Notamacropus eugenii: one gene and its partners. The protein of the gene in region 1 purifies or fractionates together with the protein of each later gene. This does not show direct contact. Links are inferred from orthologs where the notes say so. Each region holds a gene or a part of one and is shown in the gene's direction. Other genes may lie near its edges.

The links.
Region 2: the proteins of CTBP1 (region 1) and ZNF516 purify together in Homo sapiens (co-immunoprecipitation; 4 studies listed by BioGRID and IntAct, counting the BioPlex papers as one, with this or other methods). This does not show direct contact. The link is inferred for Notamacropus eugenii from reciprocal best matches to the Homo sapiens genes CTBP1 and ZNF516.
Region 3: the proteins of CTBP1 (region 1) and WDCP purify together in Homo sapiens (affinity purification with mass spectrometry; 3 studies listed by BioGRID and IntAct, counting the BioPlex papers as one, with this or other methods). This does not show direct contact. The link is inferred for Notamacropus eugenii from reciprocal best matches to the Homo sapiens genes CTBP1 and WDCP.
Region 4: the proteins of CTBP1 (region 1) and ZBTB18 purify together in Homo sapiens (affinity purification with mass spectrometry; 3 studies listed by BioGRID and IntAct, counting the BioPlex papers as one, with this or other methods). This does not show direct contact. The link is inferred for Notamacropus eugenii from reciprocal best matches to the Homo sapiens genes CTBP1 and ZBTB18.

What each region holds. Positions count from the first base shown.
Region 1 is NC_092877.1:48,808,589-48,816,127, reverse strand, and holds the start of CTBP1 (C-terminal-binding protein 1), read left to right. Parts: upstream 1-4,535; 5' UTR 4,536-4,578; exon of another isoform or gene 4,579-4,725; intron 4,726-7,539. Other genes in the region: E3 ubiquitin-protein transferase MAEA, read right to left, coding at 3,656-3,724. UniProt on the Homo sapiens protein: Corepressor targeting diverse transcription regulators such as GLIS2 or BCL6. Has dehydrogenase activity. Involved in controlling the equilibrium between tubular and stacked structures in the Golgi complex.
Region 2 is NC_092875.1:206,431,927-206,438,815, forward strand, and holds the start of ZNF516 (zinc finger protein 516), read left to right. Parts: upstream 1-3,869; 5' UTR 3,870-4,108; intron 4,109-6,889. UniProt on the Homo sapiens protein: Transcriptional regulator that binds to the promoter and activates the transcription of genes promoting brown adipose tissue (BAT) differentiation.
Region 3 is NC_092872.1:761,414,655-761,422,563, reverse strand, and holds the start of WDCP (WD repeat and coiled-coil-containing protein), read left to right. Parts: upstream 1-4,897; 5' UTR 4,898-5,063; intron 5,064-5,981; exon of another isoform or gene 5,982-6,308; coding exon of another isoform or gene 6,309-6,437; intron 6,438-6,752; coding exon of another isoform or gene 6,753-6,865; exon of another isoform or gene 6,866-7,909. Other genes in the region: peptidyl-prolyl cis-trans isomerase FKBP1B, read right to left, coding at 6,309-6,437, 6,753-6,865.
Region 4 is NC_092873.1:405,072,846-405,079,925, forward strand, and holds the start of ZBTB18 (zinc finger and BTB domain-containing protein 18), read left to right. Parts: upstream 1-4,069; 5' UTR 4,070-4,156; intron 4,157-4,252; exon of another isoform or gene 4,253-4,340; intron 4,341-4,925; exon of another isoform or gene 4,926-6,566; 5' UTR 6,567-6,637; coding exon 6,638-6,650; intron 6,651-7,080.

The sequences.
Region 1 (7,539 bases):
TACTTGACTGTGCATCATTCTCAAAAGTATTCTAAGAAATCTATCAACAAACATTCTTACTTACCACATGGCATGCACGATCACCTAAATGTCAAGAAGGAAGGAATCATATATGATATACACAAAGAAGAGATAAAATAGGGGAAGTTCAATTTATCATGATGGTAGATTTTTTTTTTTAATAAACAAAATGAACAACCAAAATTAGTCTGCACCTGACAAACCTATTTTACAAGGGATTACAATCCTCTCTTGTTAGCTATTAGTTACTATTTAATCAAAGAATGTTGAATAGATCTTTGATTCAAATGACACGTTTTGAATTATTAAGTAACAAATACCTATCAATGTGCCTCCTTTTGGGGAAACTAATTTCCTTTCTGTTTACTTTCCATTAAATTATGCCACAAAAAGAGGGAAGTTTTTTCTTCATGGCAATTTCTTTATTCAGTGACTCGAGTGTAGATAGTGCTCCTAAGCCAAAAACTGAGAAAAGCTATGATTTCAACCCCTTTTATTGTCAGTAAATAAAAACAGTCATCGAGAATCAAGAATTTAGCGTTCTTCCTCCCTTTCATATTTCTTCCTGGCTTATTTCAAATCTGTCACTATGTAAAGCCATAGCACACTCTTTTCTTTTTCTATGATAATCACCTATGATAATTTGGCCTAAAAGAGACACTAATCTTCCACATTTGCATCATTTCACCTACAGTTTGTGGAACACAGATGTGGTTCTATTTCTTATCTATCTTCTTCACAGATACTCAAATGTGTGTTATTTATTAGAATCCCATGAGTGTGCTATCTTTCCAATACTGACATTATGCAGATAATCCTCTAAATGATTTCCAAAAGGGTAGACAGAGTCACTGTAATTCATAAACACTCTCATTCGGTGGTGCTTATAACTAGCTTAATGGCTCACCAGGATTAAGGAGTGCAGCCTGCTCTTCTGGAAAGCAACAAAGTTGTGGCCTGCCAGGAACTGAATCCATTACTTCTGCTGATTGGTTAATTCAGAGCTGCAAGAGACTTTAGAGCACAGCTAGTTCAAACCTTTCATTTTACAGATGAGGAAATTGAGGCTCCAGTGAAAGAGCTTGCTCAAAGTCACACAGGTGGGAAGTAGAAGGGTGGGAATTTAGACCTAGATCCGATGACTCCAGATGTGTTCTTTTTTCTTCACTATGCTGATCTTCAAAACAAAAAGCCATTTAAATATATTTCTAATAGTTATCATGACCTTGAAATTTTAAGAGTTGGATCCAAAAGGTCTTGGATACTGCACTCTACTTATTAATGATCAAAGGTATGTTATATATGTGTGGTGCAAATATATTAAGAAATAAATTTGTTTCCTCTTATTAAGAGAAGTTAATGATAATGGTATGTACTGTAGGTGATTTATACAAGGTCACAGAGCTATTCATTGAATGGAGAGTGTCATACAACTTTAATTTGTGTTCAACTGATCTTGAATTCAAAGGAGAACCATTCTCTGTGTTACCCTGGGAGGATCATTTCCCTCTAAACTTAAGTTTCCCCATCTGTAAAATGAGGAGGTACACAAGATGGTCTTTAAAGTTCTTTTCAACTTTAAATCCCTTTCATCCAACAAATGTTTATTAAAGATTCACTAGTATAAGGCACCTCATTAGGTGTTGCATATACAAAAACGGAAAGAAAAATAGTCCCTGCCCTTAAGCAGTTGACAAGCCATTGGAAAAAAGTAGATACAATATGTACAAGTTTTCAAATACAGGGTACATACAAAGTAATGCAAAAATAATTTCAAGACATAAAAGGCACTAACAACTGAGCAAGTGTCATCACTTAGAAGAAACTGGGTATTCTAAAAGAAAGGTACGAAGAAGTGTGCATTCCAGATATAGGGGGACTACCAGTACAAAGGCACTAAAGTGGGAAATTAAATGCCATGAACAAAAAATCTTAAGTAATCACAGAACTATCTAAATATAGATATATTTATATACCTTATAGGTATCTATAAGACAGACTTTATGGGTCTAGTGATGGGCAGCATAATATAGAGAAGCTCATCACCAGAATGTCTGCGTGGTGATAGATTTCTGGTCACTAAAAGTCTTGAAGACTTTCTACTAAATCACAGAAGGGTTGCTATCAAAGGAGATGAAATTAGATGTCACTGAAATATGATTATCTGTGCGTGTGCCTTATCAAATCCTAAGAAACTGTAACATGAGAATAGGGACTGTCTTATCTACAATTTTTATCTCCTCCAGGACAGAGCATAGTGTCCTATACAGATAATATTCAATAAATGTTTCTTAAAGGAATGAATGATTTAAACAATGCTTCAACTGGAGGAGAATAAATGATCTTATGAGTGACAAGGAGCATACAGGATAGTCATGAAATCTGTAAAAGACGTCCCTCCCTCCCCCGTTTTAGGATTCTTTTTCCATTAGTTTACCCCAAGAATTCAGCTAGAACTCATCACCTTGTCATGTGATACTTACTTGGAAACAGCTGGGGCTCTAAACACAACCTCAACAGAACAATCTTCCCTTTACTTTCCAAGTGACTTCCTTCCCCACCTCCCACAAATCATTCTTAGCCAGTTGTGGTGTAACCTAAAATGTCCTACATTTGAAATCAGAACATTTGGTGAAAATTCCTTGGTCTAATTACAGTATAACCTTGGGTCTCTTCCTTTCTCCAAACCTCAGTTTTCTCCTTCGTAAAATGAGGGAGTTGGACGACCTCTAAGGCCCCTTCTAGGTCTAAACCCGACGATTTATTCTCCCTCAGGACTGGGTGAGGCAGCCAAGTACAGTGAGTGGAAGAAAGCAAGCTAAATTGGGGGTCAAAGGACCTGGATTCAAATCCCAGCCTAGTAATTTAATACCTGTGTGATAGCCATCTCCTTTCCCCATCTGTAAAATGAAAGAGTCGGACTGGATGACCTCTAAGGCTCCTTCCAAGATCGAAGTAAGAGCCACTACGCCTTGGGTTCAAATGCTGCTCAGTGGGTAACTCCCCTCCCCTCCCCGGACCTCAGTTTCCTTGTCTGCAAAAGGGAGGGGGCTGGGCTGGATGACCCCCGAGATGCGCGATCCTACACGTCTCTGGGCGGTGTTAGCCCCAGGAAGGCTCGGGATCCGCGGACGCTCGCTCCTCAGCCCCGTACTCCCCCCTACAAGGGCCTCTGGGTCATTATTTTAAGTAAAAAGACAGGGCATCCCGGAGGCAGGTGGGGGGCCGTCCAGATTCATTTCCTCCCCTGGTGCCCCTCACCCCATTAACCCTTCCCAGACGGGGCGGGGAAGCCCCCAGTGGTCCCCCTCCCCCTCTCCCCGCAATGACTGGGCGGTCACCCCCACCACATCACCCCACCCCAACCCCCCACCCTCCGCCCCAGCCAGGGCGCCATCCTCCCGGCCCCCCCCCTGGCTAGAGGGTCCCCGGCCCCGAGCCCGCGCTCGCCGTCCCCGCCCCAGCCCGGGCCGCCGGGGGCGTGGACAGACCCCGCGCCCTCCGCTCCAGTGGGGGAGGCGAGTCCCCACCCGCTCCGGGTGGCGCCGTGGTGTGGCCCCTGGCTAGCCAGTCTTCCTCCTGCAGGGGGGCGGCGGAGCGTTTTTTCCCCTTAGGCGGGTCCCTCGGCACCCACCTTGAGGGTTGGATACTCTTGCACCTTCAGGGTCATGGAAAGCTGAGCAGCTGATTCCTGCACCGCCATTTTGGATTGGCCAAAACATTACAGACCAAAGGGAGCCACCTCCGGGGCGCGGTGCATGACGGGTAACAGACAGCTCTCCTTTCCCTCCCACCTCGCCTCCACCCATTACCGGGAGGGAGCAGGCGTTTTAGCCAATCGCTTCCGCCCAACCGCCTGTGGTGGCGGAAGAACGCACAGCTCTGGGCAGGGATGCGTGAAAGGACGACGGGATAGTCCAATCAACTCCCTCCTTTCATGATTCTCTTCCAATCATAGGAAAGCGTAGGCTATGAAGACGTTTTTTACTGGACCGAAAAGAAAGGAGGAAGGCGTATTTCGTTTTTGAGACGCCAGGGCTACAGTGATGATTCCCAATTGGCCCGGGGTCGCCCAGGGGCCAATCAGGGACCTAGTTTCCTTCTGACTCTGACGTGATAGGCGGGGCCAGCCAGGTAGACTGATTGACGTTTCCATTTCCCACATATTTAATGGCTAGGGGCTGCGGTCAATGACAAATTTTATTCTAAACATGGAGACCCTGACGAAAGGTGCTTCTAGCTTCACAAACGAGTGTATAAAATTGCTTGGGCTACTGAAGACGCCCTCCGAGCCTTAGATGGTCATGGGGGCCAATCAGGGACGCCCCTATGCAGGACCACTTTTCGGGGTGGGAAACCAGGAACTTCTGGAATGTACTGGCAGGCTCTCGACCCAATAAGGAGAGAAAGCTCTCCTTGATTGACAGCTTCCTCAGCAAACCAAACGAGCGGACTATGGCGGAGGCGGGAGCAAGGGGGCACAGGGGTGGGTAGGGAGAGGGGGCGTGTCCGGAGGGGGTGGGGAGTTTGAGGAGTTTTGCGGTGTTCGGGGAGATAGTAAGTTGCTTGGGTGGGGGAGGGGCGAAGGGGGTGTGGAAGCTGGGTGGGGGTGTCGAGGAGGGGAGTGAATTGAACACACAGGAGGCAGCGACGCTGGTGGCGGGAACAGGGTTAACCCTGCTGAGACCCCCTCCTCAGAACCCAGTGAGTTCCCCTTCCCTTGCCCCTGCTCCTTTCCCTCCTCTGTGCCTCCCACGCGGGTGCGGGCAGCCGCCGAGGTGGGGGGAAAGGCAGAGCAGCCAGGACCCAGGAAGGGAGGCGGGCCTGGGATCTGGGCGCAGGAAGGTGGGAGGGTACGGGGGTGGGCAGGCCCCCCAGTCCCGGCTCCGGAGTGGGCGGCCCTACTGCCGAGACGTTCCTAATGTTCTAACCGCCCCAACCGCTGCTCGGCCCCGCCCCCAGCCCCCTCCCGCGCCGCGCGCTCCCGTTTTCTCTCCCACCCCCACCCCGGGCGCGCTCTGGGTCGGCGGAGCGAGCTGCTCTTGGGCTCCCTCCGCGTGCAGGAGAGGGGCGGAGGGATCTCTGCTCGGAGGCGGGCCGGGCCGTCTAGGAATGTCCTCGTGCACTCCCGGGGGTGGCCCGACAACTCTCGGAAAACTTCGGGGCCCAGCGGCTTCCTTCTCTGCGGCCGTCCAGCCCCTCCCCGTTCTTAATAAGAATGCGTCTCTGCCTCTCCCCGTCCCGGGAACCAGGCCGGCGGGTTTCCCAAGCGCTCGGCCGGGGCTGGGGCTCTCCCTTCCCCCGGCCCAGCTCCGGAGCCGCTGCTCCCGCTTCCCCCTCGGGGGCGCAGCCGGTGCGGGACGGGCCTCGGGGGGAGGGAGACCCCCCTCCGGAATCCAGAGGTGGCTTCCCCTCCCACCCCGCTCCGGGACTTGACCCGGGCTGGGGCTGCGCCGGCCGAGCCGGCTGCGGAGGCTTCTTCTCCCCTTCGCACTAAGGACGGGGGGCGGGGAGCGGCGACGGTGCGGTTAACCCCCCAACCTGCTCGCGTCTTGGAGGCGGCGGCCACCCCGCGTTGTCACTAAGCGCATTTCTTGATTCTCTTCGCCAAAATGTCTCTTTATGCCCTCTGAACTCCTGCCCTCCCCCGTCTGTCAAAACTCGAAGCTTCAGAAACCCTGTCTGATCGCCACTTCGTGCCCCCAGCGCCTCCAAAAACGTGTCCCCTTCATTTGGTGGAGACTATAAAAGGGATCCTTGGCCTCGTGGGAGCCCTTCGGGAAGGATTGTTGGAAGTCTGACCCGGCCAGGGAGGTTTTTCTGGTTCCCAACGGTCAGGTTTCTGTTACTTGAGAGACAGGATTTGTTCAGTATATGAATTATTATCCATGAGAACTGAAGGCAAGCCTTATCTTCCTGGCACTTTGTTTATGTTTGGCGCTAAGGATTTCATTGTGAACAATGCAATTTTGGGTGTTATGCGGTAAATAATAACTATGATATTGCTGATCCCGTCCCCCAATAAGGCAGTGTATACACAGTACAGGGCGCAAAGTTAATTTACTTTTAAACTGGAAGATTTGGTGGGAGAATGAGTAGCCAAAGTTTAAAGGGTTTACTTAATGGAACAGATGGCTGTGGCACTGGCATGTCAGAGAAAACAGCATGCATTCTTAGTTTAACACAAGAGGGAGCATGTCTAATCTTTAACCTTTAAGTATTGCAACTTCAGAGAGGCAGCTTTAATTGCTGAATGTCAACTGATTTACCCTTCTTGGTAGCATGTATAAATATTTATATAGTCTGTGCATTGTAAGCATGTCATCGGTTTAAGGTTACAATTGTTGGCTTGGAATGATTTCATGGAAAGCTTCTTAGCCTGAGTTTCTCATCTGAGGTTAGGAAGTCTGATTTCCTATTAAAACTAAGAGAAAAGGATTGAGCATTTTAAATTAATTTATAGATAAGATATTTGTTTAATGGTTGGTTCAAAATTTATCTTTTTGGGTAGTTGGCATCCAGTATGAAATGGTAAATTATTTTCTTTAATTTAGTGTTATGTTGTTAAACTGCTGCTGTATTGAAAATTAATTGGATTACAAAATAAAGAAAAGCAAGTTTTAAAGATGCCTTGAATTTCTTTCAGCTGATTTGTCACTTTTTATGAAAATGATCATCAACTTAATTGGGAACTTCATAAGCTATTGCTTTAAAACTTGAGAAGATACACATCTCATACATTTTTTTTTTTAAGTCTGCATATACTGCACAGAAGTTGTAGGTAATAGCATCTAGTGGGGTGGAAAGTGATCTGAAACTTAACGGAAACTTTTCTTGATTTATCAAGGGGTTTGGGAAAACGCATTCTACAAATAAGTTCTAGATTACAGATCTCATAGAATATTTTTTAAAATTTTCTATTAGGAATTAGAGCTTAAATCAAAAAGGAGTTAGTGAAAACCAGCAGACCCCACTTTGATGTTGAAGTGATAACTTTATACCACACTAAGGCTAATCGCCACATTGTAACTAAGACATGGAATAGTTAAGCTCTGGTCTGTTACTTCTGGGAACTTTGTACTGGAGAGACCATATAGCTTAAATTTTTTTTTTTTAACATTAAGGAATTAGTTTTATTTGGAGGTATAGTATAACTTTCCCTTTTGGGGGGGCAGTATTTTAAGTTTAAGTTTAAAGAGTAAAATACTGGGAACCCTTACTGTTTGGTTCTCTGCATATTAATCAGGCATCCAAAGTAAAGATTTTTCATCAAAAAAAAAAAAAGAATCAATTTACTCATAGCTTTTGGAGGTCTCAGTAGCAATACCAAGTTTTGTAGCATCAAAGACTAATCTAGTTCTTCGTTCCTAGAAAGATTGATGGAGTAGTGTGGGGAAAGAAGTTTATGACCTCTAATCTAACTGTTCTGCAGTTCTCTTGGACAAACTACTTAAGCATTCTATACTATAAACCATTGCCTCTTCTGTGCATTTGCTTTAAAGTTTAAAACAATTTTTA
Region 2 (6,889 bases), on another chromosome or scaffold:
TTTTTATTGTTTCCCTGTTATAAAAGTATTATTTCAAAAAGTGCATTTGATTTAGCCATGACTATGCAAAAAGAATATCAGAGCCTGACCCTAAATGTATCTCGACAGACATGTTTGATTAGGACTTTTCTCAATGTAAACATTGGAGTATTTTGATAAGGATTGGCAAGGACACCCTCCACATTTTTAAAAATCAGAACCCTCTTTTGTATATATAAGATTTTAAAAGTGCTCATTGACAAAATATTCTTTATCTTCAATGGAATAAAATTCTTAATGAAATAAAATCAATTGGTCAAGGAGGAAAATATTGTTGAATTCTTATGCAAGCAATCTAAAACCATTCCACTGAAAATTATATTTTAAAAATAATTAGCCAGCCACATCTTCATAGAACACCCTCTGCTGGAGTTTACCATATGTAATGGTCTATGCTGAGCCATAGATTAGATCTTTTTCTCCCTAAATTCTAAATACAACAGATTTCAATGTGTCTGTATTTTATGAAAAAAAGAAAATTTTTAAAAGTCAGACTATGGATATTGGTAATGTCCTTGGAAATGACTAGTTATTAAACAGAATCTTGAAATTCTAATTTCTGTTTTTAAAGTTATCCTTGGTTAAATTAGAATATAAGCCACATATGAAAAGTCTTCATCCATGAATACTTTAGACTTGGAGTCAAATTTATTCTCCAGATCCCTAGGGAAATCTGCCAATTTAAGGGAGTTCTGAGATATAAAGGTAAGATTTGTCCCAAGATTTCAGGGCCTTACTACTCTATCTGAGAAATTTCTGCTAAATTCAGACACTGAGATAATTTAAATGAAATAATCACAAATAAACAGTAGCAGGCCAAACTGTCTGACTGTTCTATTTACAGTTTTATGAAGATGAACATAGGTGTAATATTAATCAGAGCTTGTTTGGTTTGACTATCTAGGAGTTTACCATGTGTGTTTTTACCTCTCGCTCTCAGACAGACGTGGTCTTTTATTCTTAGCTATCCTATAATAATGTTTCTCAGGAACCTTTCTTATCTAAACTTCCACCAATCACTCCTAAAGCTAAGTTATGCAGACAAGCCATTGCACAGATTTTCATCAAAATGCCATTTTCCTTAGCTTGAGAAAGCAGAGTTCCCAATGCTGAACAAATAATTTATTAGATTATAGCAACGGAAAATAAATGTTTCCTGTTCCATATATTTCGTTAGCCAGAATTATTATATGAACAAAATTATAAATAGCCAAACATGTATTGAACCATTAATATCACTGACATACTCTCACCAAATACTGTAATTTAACTAAAAGATTTCAAAACAGGAGTGCCTCTCTTGGAAGGTTTCAGGGATTTATATAATGGAGTAATGGTGTTCCTTAATCTTTAATAGGCTACTTTAAATGTATGAAAATATTAAACAGCTGAATTTTTGGCAATGCTGGATTTGGTTATGTGAATAAAATATTTGAATTTTTTTATAGTGACTTTCTGGAGTCTATTAGGATGAGCTCCAGCAATCTACCTTTTAATGTTGCCTAGAACTATAAACAGCTACTGTTGACTTCCTGTCCGAACAATGTAAACATGCTGTGATGGTCACAGATGAGATTTTCACTGAAATCACAACAATGCTGAGCTCTTGCTGCCCTTCTCTAGATTTTTTTAGCAAGCTGGTGATTTGGAGTTAACTTCTGCTTGTCTGTTGTATTAATTTTCCTGATTTTTGGGTACTAATCAAGAAAATGTGGGGAAAAAATATTTTAGAAGCACAATATTATTCCACAACAGGCACAGTCCTGAGTGAATTTACAAGCAGCTGTCTTAAGGAAAGACCCTATGTTGACTATGAAAAAAGGCAGCCATGAAAATCACAGGTTGTTGTTGTGGTTGTGAATGTTGTTGGTGTGTGTGTGTGCATGTGCGTGTGCGTGTGTGTGTGTAAAGGGACTTGGAAACCACTCACCTTTCATTGCTCTTAACTTGTCAATTTTCAACATGTGGAGATTATTAGCAGATACTGCAATTTTAAGTAGAATCCAAGAATGCAGATGTATAATGGATTTTTAAAAATCTTTCTATTAAAGGCATACCAAACTACTACTAAAATTGCAAGTAATGCAACATGCCCATGCAGCTTTTACCTTCCTGGTGTATGTAATAAAGTATTTCTAAAGAATATAGAGACATGCATTTGGTATTGAATTTAAAATCTTCCAAAGTATATAACTTTGAGTCAAGGCGACTGTCCATTCATTGTCTTATCTGGGTAATGAGCTGAACTTCCAGTGGAATGTGAGTTGTACTTTGGTGTGTTTTACTGTGCATTGCAATGGACTGTGTGCACTTCAGTACTTTCCTGTGAATTAGACTGAAATTTGATTGTTCAAGAAAACATCCCACTCAGGCATTCACGCTGAAACTAGCAACAATTGTCAATGACCTTTAACATGCCAGCTTTCCAAATTAGTGCAGATCATTAATCACACATAGCTTACTTTTTATGATTCGTGTATCCTTCATGGCGTCTCTGTCTCTATCTCTTCCTTCCTCTTTCTTTCTCCCTTCCTCTCCCTCACTCCTCTTTTCCCTCTGCCTTTCTCCTCTCTCTTTTCAATGAATCTTTACTTCCCTCCCCACCTTCACCTCCCCTCCAGATCCACTTCTTTGAGAGTGTTGCTCCTCCAGGCAAGGGGACCTTGCCTTGGAGTTTGACTGTGTAGTACTTCCCGTTGCAAGTGCCAGAAGTTGGAGGGCATTCCAGCCGTGCTTGCCTGTTCTGCGTAGAAATACCACATCGCTAGGTAACCGATTCAACTGGAGGGCTGCTTGTCTAGCAAGAACCACTCAGGGTTCTACTGGACAGTGACTTTCTGGATTCCGGAATTATAATAGGGGAAAAGACCTGGAAGGAGAATAGAATATTGCCCTTTCCAAAATATATTCGTTTCGGTTGGGGGGGTGGGGTGGGGTGGGGAGGTGAGAAAGACACACAGACAGAAGGGGGGGTTGGGAGGGGAAGAGTGGGAAAGGCTCCTTCCACACCCTTGATAGCACCAAAATTCATGGGGTTAAATTATAATGCACAGGGCGATATAAGCCGCTCCGCCTTTGGCTAAATGTAGTCTGGGTAAATTGAGTTCTGAAAACAGAAAAATAAGATTTGAACTTTTGAAGGATTAAAGTTAAACACACACACAACACTACAAAAGCCATATGGCACAAATACTGTTGAGAGGTCTTTCAAATATTCCAGTGTAACCGGTGAACTCTTTGATCTTGATTGAGAACTTTAATGTGTTGTTACTGTGCATTTGAATAAATCTATAAATATTTTACCAGGGAGTTAAACACACACACAGACACACACAGGCACTCACACACCGAACCATATGTAATATACATGCATCTGGGACAGCTTGAAACTATGTATCCATATCTAAGCAAACCTTTCAGAGCTCTAGAGAATGGATCTGTCCCCAAGTGCCCAAATTCTCTACAAATGTATAACCGACCCGTGTAGGCGCATACGTGTGTCTGTGTGTCTACATATGTCTGTTTAGTGCATCCAGCAATTGAAGCCCCGAAGTCAGGCAGGGCTGGTCATCTGGAAGAAGGTAGGACAAATACAGGATCGGATAATGATTCAATGCTATTAGCAGAACAATTATTTGTTTATGAGTCATTTGGAGCATCTAGACTTTCCCCGCATTGTAGCAGAACTTTGTGCTGATGAGACAATAGTAGATAGTGTGCATTTAATATAGGACAGACCATTTCTCCTACCGGGGGAAGACACCAACCTATACATGTGGGAAAGGCTCCAGAAAACGCCTTGGTTAGGAGAAGTCCTCTCTGCCCACGTCGCTTGGGGGCCACTGCAGTGCCTCCGAGCCACGGGGCGAGGGGAGATCCGGCGGGGAGGGGCCCCTCGGCGGGCGCTGCGAGCGGTTGGCTCCCCCGGCGTCCCCCCTCGGCCCGAGTGGAGCTGGCGCAGTCAATCATGTGCAGTCCTTTCCTTCTTGCATTCAGCGCATGGTTTCACCTTCAGATTCTTCTGTTTGTCTGCGTCCTTCCAAAAATAACATTACCTTAACTCAGCAAGGTAAGGGGCCCAGAGAGATCTCAGCTCCACTCTTCTTGGGGGAGAAGAAAGAGGTGGAGGAGGAGAAGTAGGGGTCGTGGGGGGTACTCAAGGTAATGGGGATCCTGGGGTGATACGCCCGAGGGGGGGGTTGGAGATGGGGGGGGACGTGGGAGGTGGGGAGGGAAACTTCGCTTTTCCAATTAATAGTTAATCTGCTGAGTAATTTGAAGACTTAAAAATGGAACTTTGGGCTGTTTGGAGAAAAGGAGATTTTTTTTTTTACCGCAGTGGAGGGGGGCGGAGGGGGGGCCGGGACTCCGAGCTTGAAGAAGCCTTTCGCTTTGTATACTTCGTCAAAGGCGACAGGGGAAGATGGGGGGGGGGGGGAGAGGGGGGCTTGGATGCAACATTCATCCATTAAGAAACAAAGAGCAAATTGCCTGACTTTAAAGTAAAATGCTCGGGCTAATGAAGGTGGGTAATGGGGCTCCGAGTCTGGAGTAACCACTTAAATTATTAAGGGCTTTGCTGATAGTATTGATTGAGTGTGTGCATGAGTCGCCTGATGTCCTGTGAATGTGTTTGTGGGTGTGGGTGCGGGTCTTTTTTTTTTTTTTTTTACCCCTTTTTCCCTAGTTACAATCCCATCAGCTGAGAGCACAGAACTGAAGCAGGCATTAAAGTAGTGTACGGCTTATTAAAGGGAAGTTGGGGCACACTGGCGGAGGGGGGGGTCTGTGTGTGGTGTGAGTCAGGAGTGGGGAGAAACAATTATTCATGTAATGACTCTGAAATGCTGAAAAGGGCTTGAAGGACAATGTCTGGGTGGCAATTACTACTAGAAGATGAAATAGCCTGTTTGGGGGGTGGGGTGGGGATGGGAGCTGTTATTTTTCCTAATATAGATACTGTATATAGATAATATGGGAAATAAAAAATGCAACGTTAGATAATGTGGGGGGAGACTGGGCGCATGTTGGAAAAAAATGCCTCATCTTTCATTTCAAGTGAGAATTAGCATACTAAATAGTTACGATCCTCATTTGGATTAAACCACTTTTTTCAAGTTTTAAGAAACTTCGTATGGGTAACTTTGTGAAAAAGCTAGCCTAGTGGGGGTATTTAAAATGAGAGGTTTGTGATGGTGGAATGACAATCAGCCGTTGTTTTCTGAAAAAACCAGCTAACCTCTGCAATTAAGGACCATAGAGACCCAGTATTTTAACTGAAAAGTGTGGGTCTGTAGTCAGCACCATTTATTATGAGCGTTAATAAGCTCCCAGCAGTAGACTAGGATCTTCTGGGGAATGTGCTTTGTATGTGTATATATCTTACTCATTTCATTGCGCATATTGATAAAGAGTCACTTGGACTCTAAATGTGCAAAGATCAACTTGCTTGGACCTCTTTCTGAACGTATTCACTCTGCGCTTTATTTAATCCAGATGCACAAAAACCCATTTGCTGCCTTATTGTTGGCTTACATTTTCTGAAAAGGCGACTGGTGTAACCTGTGGAATTTGAAATGCAAATAAAAGCCTGTGGGAGTTGAGGCAGAACAAATCATCATTTATAAAGTGAAAAAGATTTAATGTCTTTGAAATCATTGCAGGGGGAAAAATTGGGGGAGTGCTTTTTTAAGGAGTCGAAATGTGACGTCAACTCTTTTGGAAAAGATTTTATTTTTAATGTCTGAAACGCGGGTATGTAAAGTGCTTACAGGAAAAACAGATTACAAGATTAACATCTGTTAACATGATCGTTTATCTCCAGCCAAAAATAGGTCAGTTCTTTCTTAAGGAAACACGATTGCTGGCGCATGATTAAATAATGAAATTAGACTAATGAGTTCATAAATTAGAGACAGGCGTGTGTTATAATCTGACCTGGGACAAAAATATTCAATTCGGAAATCAATGAAAGGTCAAAGTCTCCCTTTCGGGTAGAGACCTAGCTATTCACCCCTCCATCGACTCCCCCCTTCTCTCAGGTTCCCCCTAGTCCCAACGAGCCCCCCTCCCCCTGACCCGCCTTAGTTATTGCTAAATTGTCTCCATTTCCCTCCCCTGTGAAGTAAAAGATTATTGACTGACACCCTACTTGGTAAGGGAGGCACAGTCTTTACGTGCAGATGCCCAAGTTTCTGAGGTCTACAGTTGTTTTATCATTAAATGGAAAAAAAAAGTGGCAAAGAATAGGAAACGCCGATGCAAAGTATCCCTGATTTGCATCTCACTGCCCCCTCGTTGTGAGTGACAGCTGAGACGTCCAATCCGGAACCTCTTTCTCAAGCTCTGAGGTAATTGTGTGTGTGTGTGTGTGAGTGTGTGAGTGAATACTGTTAAATCCTCCTAGCCCCGTGCTAATCAGGCAGGCTTCTGTATTTACACAGATTTGTGCATGACTCTCTGTGTGTGGATACTGCTGTACTTTAATCTATATAACTGCACGTAGATGTCCAAAAGATAGCACTCCAGCTATTCACTCATGTAATAATGAAACACGTAGGCATATGCCCTGCTTTTAGATTCAAGCTGAAACCTGTTAAAGTGGGAGAAAATATAAGTGATTTTATTATGTTTCACAGTGGTTCTGTGGCCTTATTTTAGAAAAAATGAGAAATAGATGTCATAGTGTAGCAACCATTTTCATCCCCATGTTATATTTTGTCTTAAGGGGTTTAAGATTGTGATGTGCCACCAACCTTAGTAGCCTGTGGCCAAAAAAAAAAAAAAGTGCATAAAATTAATTGTTTAAGATGGTGACAAAAAAAAGTCATAGTTACAAACTTCCTTGCCC
Region 3 (7,909 bases), on another chromosome or scaffold:
AAGGATATGTTATTAGTAACATTAATACACTGGGTCATGTTGTTAATGCCCCAGGTGGTACAATTACTATTCTTCAACTGATCCTTCATCACTTGAAAATGCCTATCAGGGGTGGTAGAATTTCTCCACTGTAAGGTTATTTGAGAGCCACCTGCATGCAGTCATGCTCCTGGGATCCAGGCAAAATTTTCTGAGATGGTGTACAGCAATAGCCATATCCTTAAAAAACACTTTATTCCCATAAAAAGACATGTATTAATGGAACATCATATAAGGTATCGTCTCCTGAGTAACAAACCAGCACTGTATTATTTTTTCCCTCAGCTATGATTTCCACGGCCTTAGGCCAGTCTGTAGGCTTATTTTTATCCCATGCCTTGGAGTCAATTGTCATATTGGTAGTACCAAATCCTCCCCTTCTGGCATCAGAAGATTCTGGTGTATGAATTTTGGCCCATTCAAGATTCAGGCAAGGGATAATAACTAGTTGGGCAGCTCTCCTTCTGTTGTAGGATAAGGTTCAGTATCCAAATTTTGCAAAATTATTTTAATTTCTCCAACATAGTCGGAGTCAATTACTCCTCCTAGTACACCTACTCCTCAAACAGCTAAACTTGATCAGGATAGTATCTGCCTATAATGGCAGTATTTTGAGGCTAGGGAGAAATGTGATTCCAGAATTGGGGCCCAAGTACATGCACCCAAGCACCCCATCATTCCCCTCTTAAACAGATGGGACCCAAAATCTTTCTGGGGTAAGGGATGAAGGTCTCAGATTCCGAAACTGCTTCATGCTGAGATTGGACGTAGAGCTGTCCCTGCCTTGAGAGGTCCCATTCAGGGGGTTGGTTCTTCAGTCAGTGTCAGGAACATGATCCAGGTCCGGACAGTGATGTGTAATGGTCTCAGACAGAGGGTGATATACAGCCAGAACGGTCATCTGCGAGTGGAAGGAGCTAAACCTGGAGGAGACAAATCTGGCAAGGAGATTAAGCAAACAAAGGCCAAAAAATGACCAGAAGGGGTGAAATATGGGTTGGTATCCCTTAGGCAGGGCCATCTCAAATCTGGCAGGGTACTGATTATCAAATGAAGTGACAACCCTTTTCTGTCTTCTGAAGATTCTTCCCCCCACTCTCTCGTCAACCATCGGAGCCTGGTACAAAGGTATCCGGAGCAGCCGTCTGGAGACAGGAGAGGCTTGGATGACCCCCATGTGTCCCCAACCTTCTCTGCCTTCTGCATTCTCAATCAAACCTTTATTTATCTTTCGAAATCTCTTGGGCCCATTGTTCAGGCGGCTTCACTCTCCTTTATATCCCTACCACGGACGAGATAGCTCACAAGTGATCACTCTTCACTAGCATGGCTGCATCGCCTTAAGCAGAAGGGGTCTCCAGCTCGAACCTCACAGCTGAGCAGACGCGCCTCGCTGTTCCACAGGCTTGTTTGTCTCCTGATCGCTCACTCTGGAAGGGAAGCTTCAGAACTCAGCTGTCGCCGCTGCCCCCGGCGAGTCCGGACCCAGCGCTAACTCCTGCTGAGGCGCGGGGCAGCACAGATGTGGGTGGAGACCGACGTCCTGCGCTCCGCGGTCACCCCGCATCAGCTCTGCGGTCACCCCGCATCAGCTCGCGGTCACCCCGCATCAGCTCCGCGGTCACTCCGCATCAGCTCGCGCATCAGCTCTGCGGTCACCCCGCATCAGCTCGCGGTCACCCCGCATCAGCTCCGCGGTCACTCCGCATCAGCTCGCGGTCACCCCGCATCAGCTCTGCGGTCACTCCGCATCAGCTCGCGCATCAGCTCTGCGGTCACCCCGCATCAGCTCTGCGGTCACCCCGCATCAGCTCGCGGTCACCCCGCATCAGCTCGCGGTCACCCCGCATCAGCTCGCGCATCAGCTCTGCGGTCACCCCGCATCAGCTCTGCGGTCACCCCGCATCAGCTCGCGGTCACCCCGCATCAGCTCGCGGTCACCCCGCATCAGCTCGCGCATCAGCTCTGCGGTCACCCCGCATCAGCTCTGCGGTCACCCCGCATCAGCTCGCGGTCACTCCGCATCAGCACGCGGGCCGTCCCGAGAACGGAAACTCGGCCGCAGGGGACAGACGCTCCCTCTCCTTCTAAGAGCCAGCGGCCGCCTGGTCCCGACGCCGGCACTAAAGCCTCCGGGGAGCGCCATGAAGCGCTCTAGCCGCGGCTCCCTTCCTTCGAAGCAGACGCTCACCCCGGAGCCGAGCTGTTACCAAGGCGCCCTCGGGCGATGGGGCCCCGAAGCCCACGGACTGAGCCCGCAGGCACGGCGTGCTACCCGAGGAGCTGTGACGGCGTCGCGCCGGGGGCAGCGAGAGGCTGGCCGCGGAGAGCCCCTTCTGAACAGCGGGAGCGTCTCGCGGGGAGTCTCCGCGCGTGTCCCGTCTGACGGCCCGGCGAGACGACGCCACGGGCCCACTGTGACTGACCGCAGAGAAGGAAGGCGCGGCACGTGACCCGCCGAGCGTGGCGGGCGAAGCCCCTCGGCTCCGTCCGAGCTCAGAGGGGTCAGACCCTCCGGCCAGTCGGGCGGGAAGATCCAGGACACTCGGTTCGGACACGCGGACAGGGGGCCGGGAGCTCGTGGGCCCGCAGGAAGGCGCACGCGGCCCGCTCGGGGCGGCAGCGGGAACCCCCGAGACCGCCCGGTACCGACGGGACCGCAGCGGTACCGACGCGGGTAGAGGAGGGGACGGGGAAGCGCTTTGTTCAGGGGCGTGGGACGTCCCTTCACGGGCGGCCCCGGCGGCCCCTGGGAACGTGCCCACGCGGACACGAGCGTGAGGCGGGACTGGCGCCCACGCGCCGGGGCTCCCCGAGCACAGCTCCTCTACCCGCCCGGCTCCGTGTCTTGGGGGCTGCGTGGACGTCTAGGAGAAGGAGCGGGCGGGGTTTGTCACGCGCGTTTTTGACCTCGAGGCGGGGACGACGGCGCCGGGTCTGCCACGTGGCTGCCACGTGACTGCCCTGAGGTGGCGGCCCGGGACCCGCGGGATCGCACCCGAGAACGCCGCCCGCCTTCTCCGGATCTCAGACCTTCCCACCGCCGGGCCTGTGCCCCTCGCGGGCCCCTGGGCACGGCGGCCGTCCGTGAGAGCGCTGGTGGGGGGGGGCGGTATGCGGAGCGCCCCCTGCTGTGCGGGTTGGGCGCGGTGTGGCCCGGCTCGGGTGCACAGACCCGGAGGAGGCCTGGTTGTTCACGTCGGGACTGGTCGTGACTGCCCCGTGGAGGGGCGTTCCACGGCCAGTCTCGGTCCGTGTCCCGCGTGGCAGCGGACACCCGCGCGGAGAAGGCCCACCGCCCCCTCCCTGGCGCACCCCCAGCTCCCCGGCCCTTCTGACCGCCTGCACTGCGCGTGGGACGTGTTCTGCGAGGGTCCGAGTGTCCCCCTGCACACGCAGCAGCTGCGGGGCGTGGGGCTCCTGCCCCTGGGGACGGAAGGTCGGGGTGCCCTCTTACACGGCACGTGATGGGTCTGACCCACGGGGGCACTGCCTTCGTGCTCCAAAGCGGACGTGGCTCCTCACGGTGCCCTGCCTGCGTGTTCTCAGCAGCTGCCGCCAGCTCCCACGTGCCCAGGGCCCTGGCACCTCCGGGTACGCCCCCCACAGCAGGGGGTTCGCCCACGGCTGCCGGGCTGTGGACCTGGAAAATCGGTTAGAGAGAAGGCAGCGGGCTGATGCACACATCTGTGATCTAATAATCGATGGATCCATTCCCTGTCACAGACAGCGGTAGCACAAGGCATCGCGGAGCCGGGCACGTCCTGACTGCCCGGACAGAGACCTGGGCGGCCTTCAGTCTGCTTAGGACAGCCGTGTCCATGCCCTCAGACCCGCGGTCTCCAGGTGACTGACCGGATGTTAGGAAGGAGCTTCTTAATGGCGGGCTCCCCATGGAAACACGACCAGGGCTAACACGCCATCACACGGTACATGTCTGCACATAGGAAGACATGGAAACGTCCTGTTATCCAGGAGAGTGTCCTAGGTTAAAGGTCTTAAGGAATGTTACGTCAGCCCTGGCGGGCTCTGGGGGCACAGGAGGAGCCCTTCTCTGAGCCAGGAGATGATGCCAGAACGTCAGTGCCAGGGGGTCAGGGGCACCCCCCCCCCCAGAGCGGGCACCACGATCCGGGTCAGACGGCCTTGGGGGGCGGGGGCCGCTCCCCGCGTTCTGTGTCCTGCTCCGGGCCCGCCCCCCTCCCCCCGTTCTGTGTCCCTGCCCCGCACCCCCTCTTCTCCGCCGGGGCCGCCCCCTCCCCCCTTCTCTGTCTCGGGGCGCCCCGCACCCCCTCTTCTCCGCCGGGGCCGCCCCCACGCGGGCAGAGGCGGAAGGCCTTGTCACCCCGCGGCCCCTGGGCGCCCCGAGCGAGGTTAGGGTGCTGTGAAGGCTTTTTCATGATAGAAACATGGCGAGTGGTGAAAACCTCAGCTAAAACTCTTGCCCGGAGGCTGCCCGAGCTCCCCCGCCCCCCTCCTTCCTATCGGGCGGGGTCACGGTGTCGGGGTGAGGGGCATTTCCCGGGGTTCGCGGCCCCCAGCCAGCGGGGGGGGGATAAAACTGCGCTTCGGGCTGAGTGGCCGCCCTCCGGCGGGTCCCCGAGAATTGTGATAAACCTTTGTCTTTCTGTTCTTATCGAGAAGCTTATTCATTTATTTAAGGTTTGGAGGAAGGGTCTTTTTATCCCACACACCTCCGTGGACCCCGGCCCCGCCCACGTGAGGGGGACCCCAGCCCAAGGAGAAGGAAGAGGGCCGCGACCTCGGTCTGCCCCGCGGAAACCCTCCCCATGGCGCGTGCGCCGGTGCAGAGGAGACGCGTCACGTGACCCTCCGCGTACGCCGATAGCGTCACTTCCTGGCGCGACGCGAGACACCGGAAGTGAGGTGACCGCCGCAGAGAGCGGCGCGGGCGCGAGGCGTGGTTTCGAGATCTCCCGAAGCCGAAAGTCCGTACTCTACCCCGCCAAGCTCCGTCCGAGAGTCCGCGGACTTCGCGGCCCCAGGAGCGCCGTCCGGTGTGGGTGAGTGAGGCGGAAGCGCGCGGCGTCACTTACTTCCGGGGCGGGTGTGGCGTCACTTCCGGCGCGTGGGGGCGGGGCCCGGCCCGGCCGAGGCCGCGGCTCTGAATGGCTGCGTGGGCCATGGCTTGCCCGCGCCGGTCTGCCGGGGCCCCCCCCCCCCCCCAACCCCCGCCGGGATCGCCCGGTGGCGAGGAGCTCTGTATTTAGAAGGCCCGAGGAGCCAACCTGGATTAAGCGCCTCCTGTATGCCGGCCCCTCGCCGGTCACCCCGGCTGCCCCCTGGCCCTTGTGTAACTCGGTGCCCCAAGGACCTGAGCTGGAACCTCCGGGTCAGTGCGGGTCCGGAACCGAGCGGGGGGACGGGGAGGGGCGCCCGTGCGGGGCACCGGGCCGAGCTCTTTACCACCAGCCCGTGAGGTGACTGGCCCAGGCTCACACAGCCGGTCCGGGCTGGGTCCGGGGGCCGAGCCTTTGCCTCTCGCCTGTCCAGCGCAGGTGCCTTTCATAGATAAAAGCCCTGATTCCCGGGAGGGGAAGGGCCGCGCCCGGAGCCGCTCCCAGAGGCCTCCCTCGTGTCCCCCGGGCTGGCCCCCTTCCGCGGGAAGCCTTCTCTGTTAGTCACTCTCACTGTGTCTGTCCCGGCTCCGTGAGGCCGCCTCCGCCTCTGTGTGCGCCCAGTGCTGCGCACGTTTCCAGGCACAGGGTGTGTGCCCCGTCGGTGTTTACCGGCTGACTTCCCGGGCGCCCGGCCCCGCACTGTTTGAGGCGCCCAGGAAGGGGCCTCCCAGCCCTGGGAGCTGCGAAGGGGAGTCCTGGCTGACCCTGAGGCGGGCAGCTCACCGCCCCCCCCCGCCCCCCACCCCCGAGAATTCGGGGGCCCCACCTCCCCTCCCCCCTCGGAGTCCGGGGAGGCCGCGAGGCGAGCACAGGGCTTGGGCTGGCCTTTATTTCGCACGTGTCTCCGTCCCTAAGGCCCGGGCGGGGTCGCAGGCAGCGGACAGACGGACAGGCGAGGCGGGCGGACTTGGCTTCATAGATAAAAAGCGCGCACACGGCGCACACGCACACGCGTGCTGTCACATGCAAGTTAAAGGAAAGGTCCAGCCCGAGCACGCTCCGCCGGCGTCCGCTCGGGCCGAGAAGCTTGCCCGCGCAGGGCTGGACACGGGCACGCAGACGACGGCGGACATCGCTGGCGTGGGAGCTTGGGGACTGGGCGGAGACGGCGTGAGCACGCGCCTGCGCTCACTCTAACCGGAGCAGCTCCACGTCAAAGATGAGGGTGGCGTTGGCAGGGATGACTCCCGGGTGCCCCGTGGTGCCGTAGGCCACGTCGGGAGTGCAGGTCAGCTTCGCCCTCTGACCCAGGCTCATCTGACAGGTGTGGGGGCAGGGAGGAAGAGGGGAGAGAGACAGGGGGGGGTGTGGGGGTGGGTATCTGCCCCCCACGATCCAGCTGCCCACAGCCCAGGGCACACACTAGTCGGTGTCCTCCCCATGCCAGCTCAGCTCCCCTGTTCTTTCCTACATTCCTGATTCCCTCTCCTCCATGACAGCTGCTGGGGAAAGTCCCAAAGACATGGTGTGAAGACAGGGGTCTCAGGAGCAAGGAGGTCGTCAGGGCACTTCTAAGTAACTGGGTGAGGAGCAGGTAGCAGCGCACAAGGCTGCCACCCTCAGGTGCCTTACCTGGGCAGTGCCTTCTTCAAACCCCTTGATCACTTCTTGTCTGCCAATCTTGAACCTGAAAGGCTTATTTCTGTCTCTGGAGGAATCAAATTTCTTCCCATTCTGGAGCATTCCTGCCAAGACATTAGATTAGTATCAGCCCTGGGTCTGAGAGGAAGCTGCGAGCCCTCCCCTTCTTCTACTCTCCTCTCTTCCCTTCTCCTTCTCTTTCTTTGGTGGAGGAAGTGATGGCCACTTCCAGGGTCTGAGTCCTCAGGGCAGGTCAGAGGGTTCCCCAGCTTAGACCCATTGCCCTAAGGTACACAGAGTTAGCCCCTGCAGCCCAGACTGTAACTGCTCTGGTGAATAATTCATGGTGCTGACAGAGTCCATCGAGGAGCCCAGAGGCTACATATCCTGAACACTTTCTGTGCTTTCCTTAATGATGGAGAAATGGAAAAGGGATAATCCATCAAGAAGCATGGATTAATTGCATGCTGTATACTAGGCCCTGAAAAGCAGGAGCCACGTTTCCCATAGGCCAGTACCCATCCTAGGAGGCAGGGAGACCCATTTCATACTGGTCATCCACGAGGGCTCCTTCCAGGCTCCTGGCCCGTGGTGGAGGAGGACTCTGAGATGGAGACCTGGAGAACGTGACCATAATCCTGCTGGGGCACTCTCTGTCTCACAAAGTTTGGCCCTTATGTAGACTTGAGTGAATAGAACGTGTGAGAGTCCCCAACATGGAGCCCTGTAATCGTGGCACCAACGTTGCCTGGATTCTTTAAGAGCTGTCTCATTGATTGGTCTTCCCCAGACTAGCAGGGAGCTCCACAGGTGACATTTGATCACCTGCCTCCCTGATCACCACACCTCACCTGCCCAACAGGAGGGCAGAGGGTGGGGACATCCATTTAGCCCCTGCTCCCTTCAGGCCCTGGGTTAGTGGGTAAAGCATAGGAGGGGCAGACAGCATGACCTCTGCTGCTTGACCCCTCTAAGGCTATACAGGGAGAAGAGGTGGTCGCCTGTGCAGAAAGACTGTAAGGAAGGGGCAGCCTTCTCCCCGTCCAGGGACAGTGGGCACAAGTGGGCCCTCAAGCAAAGCGTCCCAGAGCCCCCACTGAGTGGCAGGGGCTGCCCGACCAGATCCCCGAGACTCAGTCCATTCCTTT
Region 4 (7,080 bases), on another chromosome or scaffold:
TCAAAGATCACCTGACAGACCAATTTGACTAGAACAGAGTTTTTGAAGGAGTCATATGAAATAAGCCTGGAAAGGTATTTTGTGGATTGTGGAAGGCTTTAAATGCCAGGCTGAGAAGTTTGTATTTTTATCTTGCAGGCAGTAGGGAGTCATTTAGCATATTATATTGTTCAAAAACTGCTGCTTATGGAAATTCAGTAGTGTAGGATTTATGAATTAGGGGATTGCTGTGATACACAACTCACTTTATTGAATGTTCAGGCCTTTTGGACTCTGTTTTAGTGGATGTGCCCACTGTTTAATTTATTGCAATGTCTTTCAATTGGTTCACTTAAGTTTATATATACTATTATTGTTTGTCTGCTTGTTTCTTCTCTTTACCCCAGACCAAGCTATTCCTCTCTGAAAGCCAGGAATTTCTACAAAGTTTGAGGAAATAGGATCTGGGTAACTTAAGAAAGCTGTAGGTTATCTTGACACAGAATAATGGGAAATAGGGTTGATGGAAGCGGAATGACTTTTCACATGTTCATCTTCCATTCTATTACATTTCACATGGTATTGTTTTTCCTTTAGACTCAAAATCTTGCTGCTCTGAATTTGTGTTTGTTATGGAATCATTAAAGTTGGAAGGAATATTTGAGTTTACATAGTCTGACAACTTTATTTTACAAATAAGGACCAGAGAGATTGTATGATTTACCCAAAGTCACACAAGTTAATAAGTGCCGAAGTAAGAATTTGAATTCAGCTCCTAGAACTTCCAAGTACAGCACTCTTTCCACTGTACCTCGCTGCTTAATATTAAAAATATATAAATTAATTTTATAGGTAACTTTTCAATGCATCTATTTCTTAAGGGCATATTTCAAATATTTAAACAAGATCCTTATAAGCTTTCCAATATTCATTCTAAGACATTGTCAAATTTAATTTGTTCTTTCAACCTTCTGATACAAAATTGCTATGGACAAAACCTATGTGCTACTTCCAGTATAGAATCGGCTCACAGACAAGGGATTTAGTCATCAGTACAGCCTCTAAGTGCTTGAGTTTTAAAGCAGGATTTTCCTGAAATTCATAGGTTATTTGGGGAATGGCACAGGGCATTCCAGAATTTGCCCGTTACTAACATATTAAAAGTGGGCCCTGTGACACAGTGAGGAAGGCATGAAGATATCACTGGCTCTTGAATTAGAGGACCTGGGTTTTAATTTCACCTGATGTTTACAGCCTATGTGACCTTAGACAAGTGTCCTAACTTCCCTGAGCCTTGGTTTTCTCATCTGTAAAATGTGGAGTTTGCATTGGATGTTCTCAGAATTCTAGAGCTATGATCCTACGAAGTCACCTAACATCCCAGGCCTACATTTCCTTATCTAGAGCAGTTGGGCAAGCTAGATGGTCTCTGAGGTCCCTTTTAGCTCTGGAGCTACAAGGCTGTGATTAAGTGACGAGTATTAGGAAAAAAAATAGCACCTTGTAAATACATCAGAAACTTTTAAAGTTTCTACCCTCTCTCCATAGTCTATGATCTATCTGATCTCCTAAGAGATTGGTGGTTAAGTTATTCTGCTTCTCACGAGAGTACTGTAAAAACTTGTGTCTACATTTTATTCAGCCAGCCACTGAAGCTCTGCATTCTCATGCTTTGCTTCTCCTAAGCTGAATTCTGATCTCTTCCTCCCACTAAATTATTTTTACTATTTCCTTATTTAGTGACCTATAGCTTATATCTTTTGGGAATTATTTTAAATAATTCTTAGTAGGTAAGCTATGTCCATGCAGTAAAGGACCATGTCTAATCAAAACTACATTTCCTTGCTCTGCACAAATACCTGCTTAACAAAGTTTGCTAATGAAATACAAGTCATTCATGTATTAAATGCAAGTTTTATAGGAGTCTATTAGAAATGGAACTTCCTACCAGTAGATCTAGGACTCTTCAAAAGTATACCTCTATCAGGGAATTGTAAGGACTAAAAACTCTGATGACAGTTCTTAGCTCACTAGTGTGCTCACAGGAGAGTCTAAACACTGGTTAAGGATTTAGACAAATTGACTAATGGTATGGGAATACTGATTTCTCTTGTGTTTAATTCTCCAAATTCTGTGATGCAGTGAAAAGAACACTGAACTGAAGGTCAGTGGATGTGGGTTCGAGTTTCTATTCTGTCAGCTAGGGGTAGAAGCTTGGAAAAGCTGCTTAATTTCATTATGTTTGGAGACAGAATTTTAAAGTCCCCTACAGCTCTAACATTTTCCTATGATTAACATGATAATCAAATCTAACAATGGTTTTTTTTAAAACCTTTTAAAAAGCTCTTTAACAATTTGGTCAATTGAAAATAGTGCACTTAAAGTACTTTCACCTATCTAGTCAGTCAGTCAAACCACATTTGAACCGTTGGTCTCCAGATGTGCCCCCAGTTGGCATAGGTGGCACACAACCACTCAATTAGAGATTAGTTACTGCCTCTTGTTTTAAACTGTACTTTATTGTGATCTGATTTTCACTCGTGTTATCATTCAGCAACAGTGCAGTGGATGTTTGAGGGTAGATCTCTATATTTTAAACAAAATTCCCTTGGGGCCTAGTAGGGTGTCTTAAAAATAGCAGGGTTCTCAAAATCCTACTGGCGATTGCATGTTTCCAAAAAGAAACAGAGGAAGGCTGCATCTTTTCTCTGCTTTCTTGTCTTCAGTTCAGCAGCGGGGCCTCCTGCCAGGTACTGGACAGGGCATCTCAGGAAAGGTTCCCTGACCATGGCTGTGTTTGTAAGGGCACCTCGGCCCAATGTTAGCAGTACCGGGCGGACGCCGGCCCCTTGGGCATGGACACCAAGGGTGTGCAGTACGGGGTGCACCAGTTCCGCCAGGGACACCAGAGTTCGCTAACTCCAGTTGGACGCGTGACTACTGACATGGGCCACTCAGGACTGTCCCTAGCAACTTCAGCCTTCCGCACGCCGGGAGCCGCCGAGCGGGCCAAGCCGGCCTGCAGGGCTCGCTTCGGGAGGCACCCCCGGCACTGTCCAGGCTCGGGCACTCGGGGCGTCCGTGGGCACGCAGGGACACCTGCTCCGCTCGCAGCGGTCAAGACCACTAAAGGAGGGTATTTATTGTTCCCTTTGGGAACTGGAGACCCTCCCTCGGCACCCCGACAGGGGGAGAAGCCCCGCGGTCCAGGGCTGGAAACAAAGCTCCTCCCAGAGCAGCTGTGGCCGCCGCCCGCGGGTTCCTTTCACTTTCTCACGGCCAAGTCACCCCGGAGCGCCGCCGCCTCTGCCGCTGCTGCACTAACAACTCCACCCCGCACGGCCTCGCTGCGAGCCTCCACGCTCGGCCCCGCCCACAAGCCCGGGCCCCGCCCTCCCTCGACATCCCCACCTTCCAATTGGCCGACGCGGACGACTGCTTTAGTTCGCCTCCTCCATTGGGGGGGGCACACTGTCCGTCGTCCGCTCGCCCTCCATCCTCCCGTAGAGCCACTTTCTTATTGGAGGAAGCGGGGTGGGGAGGGGTGACAGAGAGAGGGGCGGGCTAAGAGCGCCGGTCCAGCCGCCGTCTGTCAATCGCGGAAGCCGGCGCGGGGAGGAGGGTGCCGGGAGGAGAGGAGGGGGGGTGGGGGGGTCGGATTGGGGAGGAGGGGGGAAACATCTGGCCGGCGCCGCCGCGTGCGTGCGTGGTGCGTCCTCCCACCCCCTCCCTCCCCCGTCCCCCCGCCCGCGCTCCCCTCCCCCTCCCCCTCTCCCTCTCCAGCCCCCTCCCCCTCCCTCTCCGTTCCCTCCCCCTCCCTTCCCCCCCACCCCCCCACCCCCGCCCGGCGCTGCGCTCGCTGTGTCTCTGGCTGGCTGCGGCCGCCGCTGGGCTGCTGCCATGGGGAGCCGTTGAGAGTGGGGCCCTCTTCGCTCCGCCGCGCTCCTCCGGCTGCCAACGGGGGCGGGAGTGAAGGGGGAAGGGGGGGAGCGGGCGACGGAGCCGGGGCTGGGGGGGTGGGGGGGGGACGGGAGGGAGGGGGGCCGGAGGAGGAGGAGGAGGAGGAAGCCCACCAAGTCCGGGAGCGGCGGCGGCGAGGAGGAGGAGGAGGAGGAGGACGCGGACGCGGCGGCGGCGGCGGCGGCGGGGACGCGGTGACTTAGGGCCGCTCCAGGGTGTGAGTCCCGGTTACGGCACGTTTCCCCCTGACCCCGGCCCCCCTCCCGCCCCCTCCCCCACCGCCCGGCCCGGGGTCAGGGAGTGGAGGGCGGGCCCGGGGCAGGACGGGGCGGGGGGAGGGCGCACCAGCTGTTCCAGCCCCAGCCCCGGGAGCCGGGGGGCCGGGAGAGAGTGAGCCCGAGGTGAGGGAGGAGGGGCCGGGCCGGGCCGGGGCTCGTCTCGGAGGAGCGGAGTTAGTTTGCGTGGTTCGGGCTGTTGGAGCTCTGCGCCGGGGGGCGGTGCAGCTGCGGGGAGGCCGGCGGGGCGCCCCCCCCGGGGGTGCGGTGCGGGGCCCGCCTCGCCTCTCGGGGCCGGTGCAGCTGCGGCGGAGGGGCAGGGGGCCCGTGCAGCTGCAGAGCCTCCGGGGGCGGGAGGGAGGGGGTGATGGAAGCGGGGGGAGGCTGGGGAGCCGATGCAGCTGCGGCGGCGCCCGGGACGGACGGGGCTCCTGGGGGAGCGGTGCAGCTGCGGCGGCGCCCGGGCCGGGGCAGGGGGCTGCGGGTGCTGGTGCAGTTGCGGCGAGGCCCGGGGGCCGGCTGCTGGGGCGTCGGGGAAGCGGCGGCGAGCACTCTGCTCGCTTTGGCTTCTTCTGGCGACTTTTCTTTTGTTGCTGCTGTGACCCGGCTCTGTTTTCTTCTGTTGCTGAAGGTGTTTTCTTGTGGGCTGGCCGCGAGTCCCGAGTCTTTCCTTCTGGCCGAACCCTCTTCCCCCCCACCCCCTTTAAAAAATCTGCCCAACGTGCTTTACCTGGAGCGTACTAACTAGAGATTGGCACCTTTCCCTCCTTCCTCCGACCCCCTTTAAAGACGAAAAGTAAAACCTCAACCTCTCTGGACCAGCAGCAGAGCGAGCGGGGTCGACTGGTCGAGTGAGGAGTCGCCCAGTCCATTGCGGTGTTGGGGACCCATTAAACTGTCACTTACCCCCACCCCACTGAGTAAATGGGGTGATTCATGGCTGATCACGGGGAGCAGGGAGAGGACATTTGTGCAGAAGGAGCGGATCCTTAGACTACCAAGTCTAATTGACTTTAGTAATAAACTCATTGTTAGGAAAAGTTAGTTTTTGAGGATTGGAGGGAAGGGAGAGCTGTTGACTTTGCCATTCATTTAACATTCCTCACTTTTTTCCTAACGTGGATGCAGTTCATTAACATTTGAGCTGGGGCACTTACAGTTGAGCTATAAGGCCATGTTTCTCTCCCCACCCCCCCATTCACACCTCGCCCTTCCAAAGGTCTTTGGGGATGAATCTGACATTCACAGATGTCAGTAGCACCATGCGTAGCACCATTCTGTCCAGCTGAGGTTACACCTCTATTTCATCAGCCATTAAACCCCCCCCCCCCAAACCAGTTAAAAACTTTCTGCACTAACTGGACTTATGTATATGAGGGACCTCTTTATTATGATCAGTAAAATTACAGCGTGACCCCAAAAATACTGTTGTGGGAAGCAGATCAAGGGGAAGACAAGGTTCTGCTTTTTTGGCCAGAAAGTTAGATCAGATATGCAGGTGCAATGGCCATTTTAATCCTCTGTTACAGATTGTATCCAGTTTATTAGTTTGTTTCACTGAATGTAATCACTTCTCAGCATTTTTTAGAAAAGTAAAGCTTTCAGCTTGTTGGTATTTTGAATTGGAATTGATATTGATTACGACAGTATGAGAAATTATACTTAGAAGGTAGTTGGAGATAAGTAGTTAAGTATGAGTGGAATAATTGTGGTGAACCAGGCTGAAGTAATAGTTTCCAATAAGTCTCCCAACATTCCTGTGACATGTATATTATTATCTCAGCAGAAAAACAAATGGAAGCCCTATGCTAACGTTAAAATGGGAATATAGATTTAGAGTCAAATGGGTTTGATTTAGAAATATCCCAAAGAAGCTGCCTTTGAAACGAACCCTCTAAGTTGAATAAAAGTGAATCTGTGGATTTCCTGAATAGCACTGTGGCTTGAGTATCCTGTCAATATATAAGCCAGTCCACCAACTTAAGACACAAGTGTTGCTATTCCATAAATACAGTAGAGCTCCATATGTTTAGTTTTTCAATTTCTTCTGTTAGAAAGTTTGGGAAAAAAAAGGAGACTTTGAAGTATTTTGTTTATACTAACAGAAGAGAAAAGTTCTCCTAAGAAAAAGCTGGTGGCAGGAGTGTAGAGGAGTAGCATATGGCATTAAAAGGAGCACAGCTGGAGGTAGCATTTCCATCTGAACATGATGTCAGAGCAGCTGACAGCCTGCCATCCCTCAGCCTTTTATTCTAACACACAGACAGGGAGTTAGTGTGTGCAGATCTGTGTGTGGAGAAGGTATCTCATTCCTCTCTAACATCATCTCCACTTTGCATCTGTCTCTCTTAGTCTGCTTTTTTTCCACCGATCTAACAGACCTGGAGCCAGCAAGACTCAGAGGAAAGGACTTAATCAGGTTTATGTGTACTAAAGGTAGGAGTAGCAATAGATTAGATTCAGCATATTTCTGTTTTGGTGTTTTGTTTATTTAATTTGGAAAAATCACATTACTTTTCTAACCAAGTTTAGGGATTATATATGAAATTGAGTATTAAATGAACATCTTGCTGTAGTCGAAAGGCTTGGACTGCAGCATTATCTGTCCCTTTACACTTGAATCAATAACTTTTAAAAATACATATAGGTATTGCAAATTTTGAAATGTAAGTAGGGCTTTGAAATATATTGTTTATGGAGCTCACTTTAAGTTAAATTGTTTTATTTTTTCACTGACATTTTAGCTCCCTTTTGCTTTGAGGAATATTAAATAGCAAAGTGTATGGAATCAAGTATTCAAACTTTTTATGGAAGAATTGTTCTAGTTGAGAAACTAAATTGATTGTATAATGAATTATACTCTTAA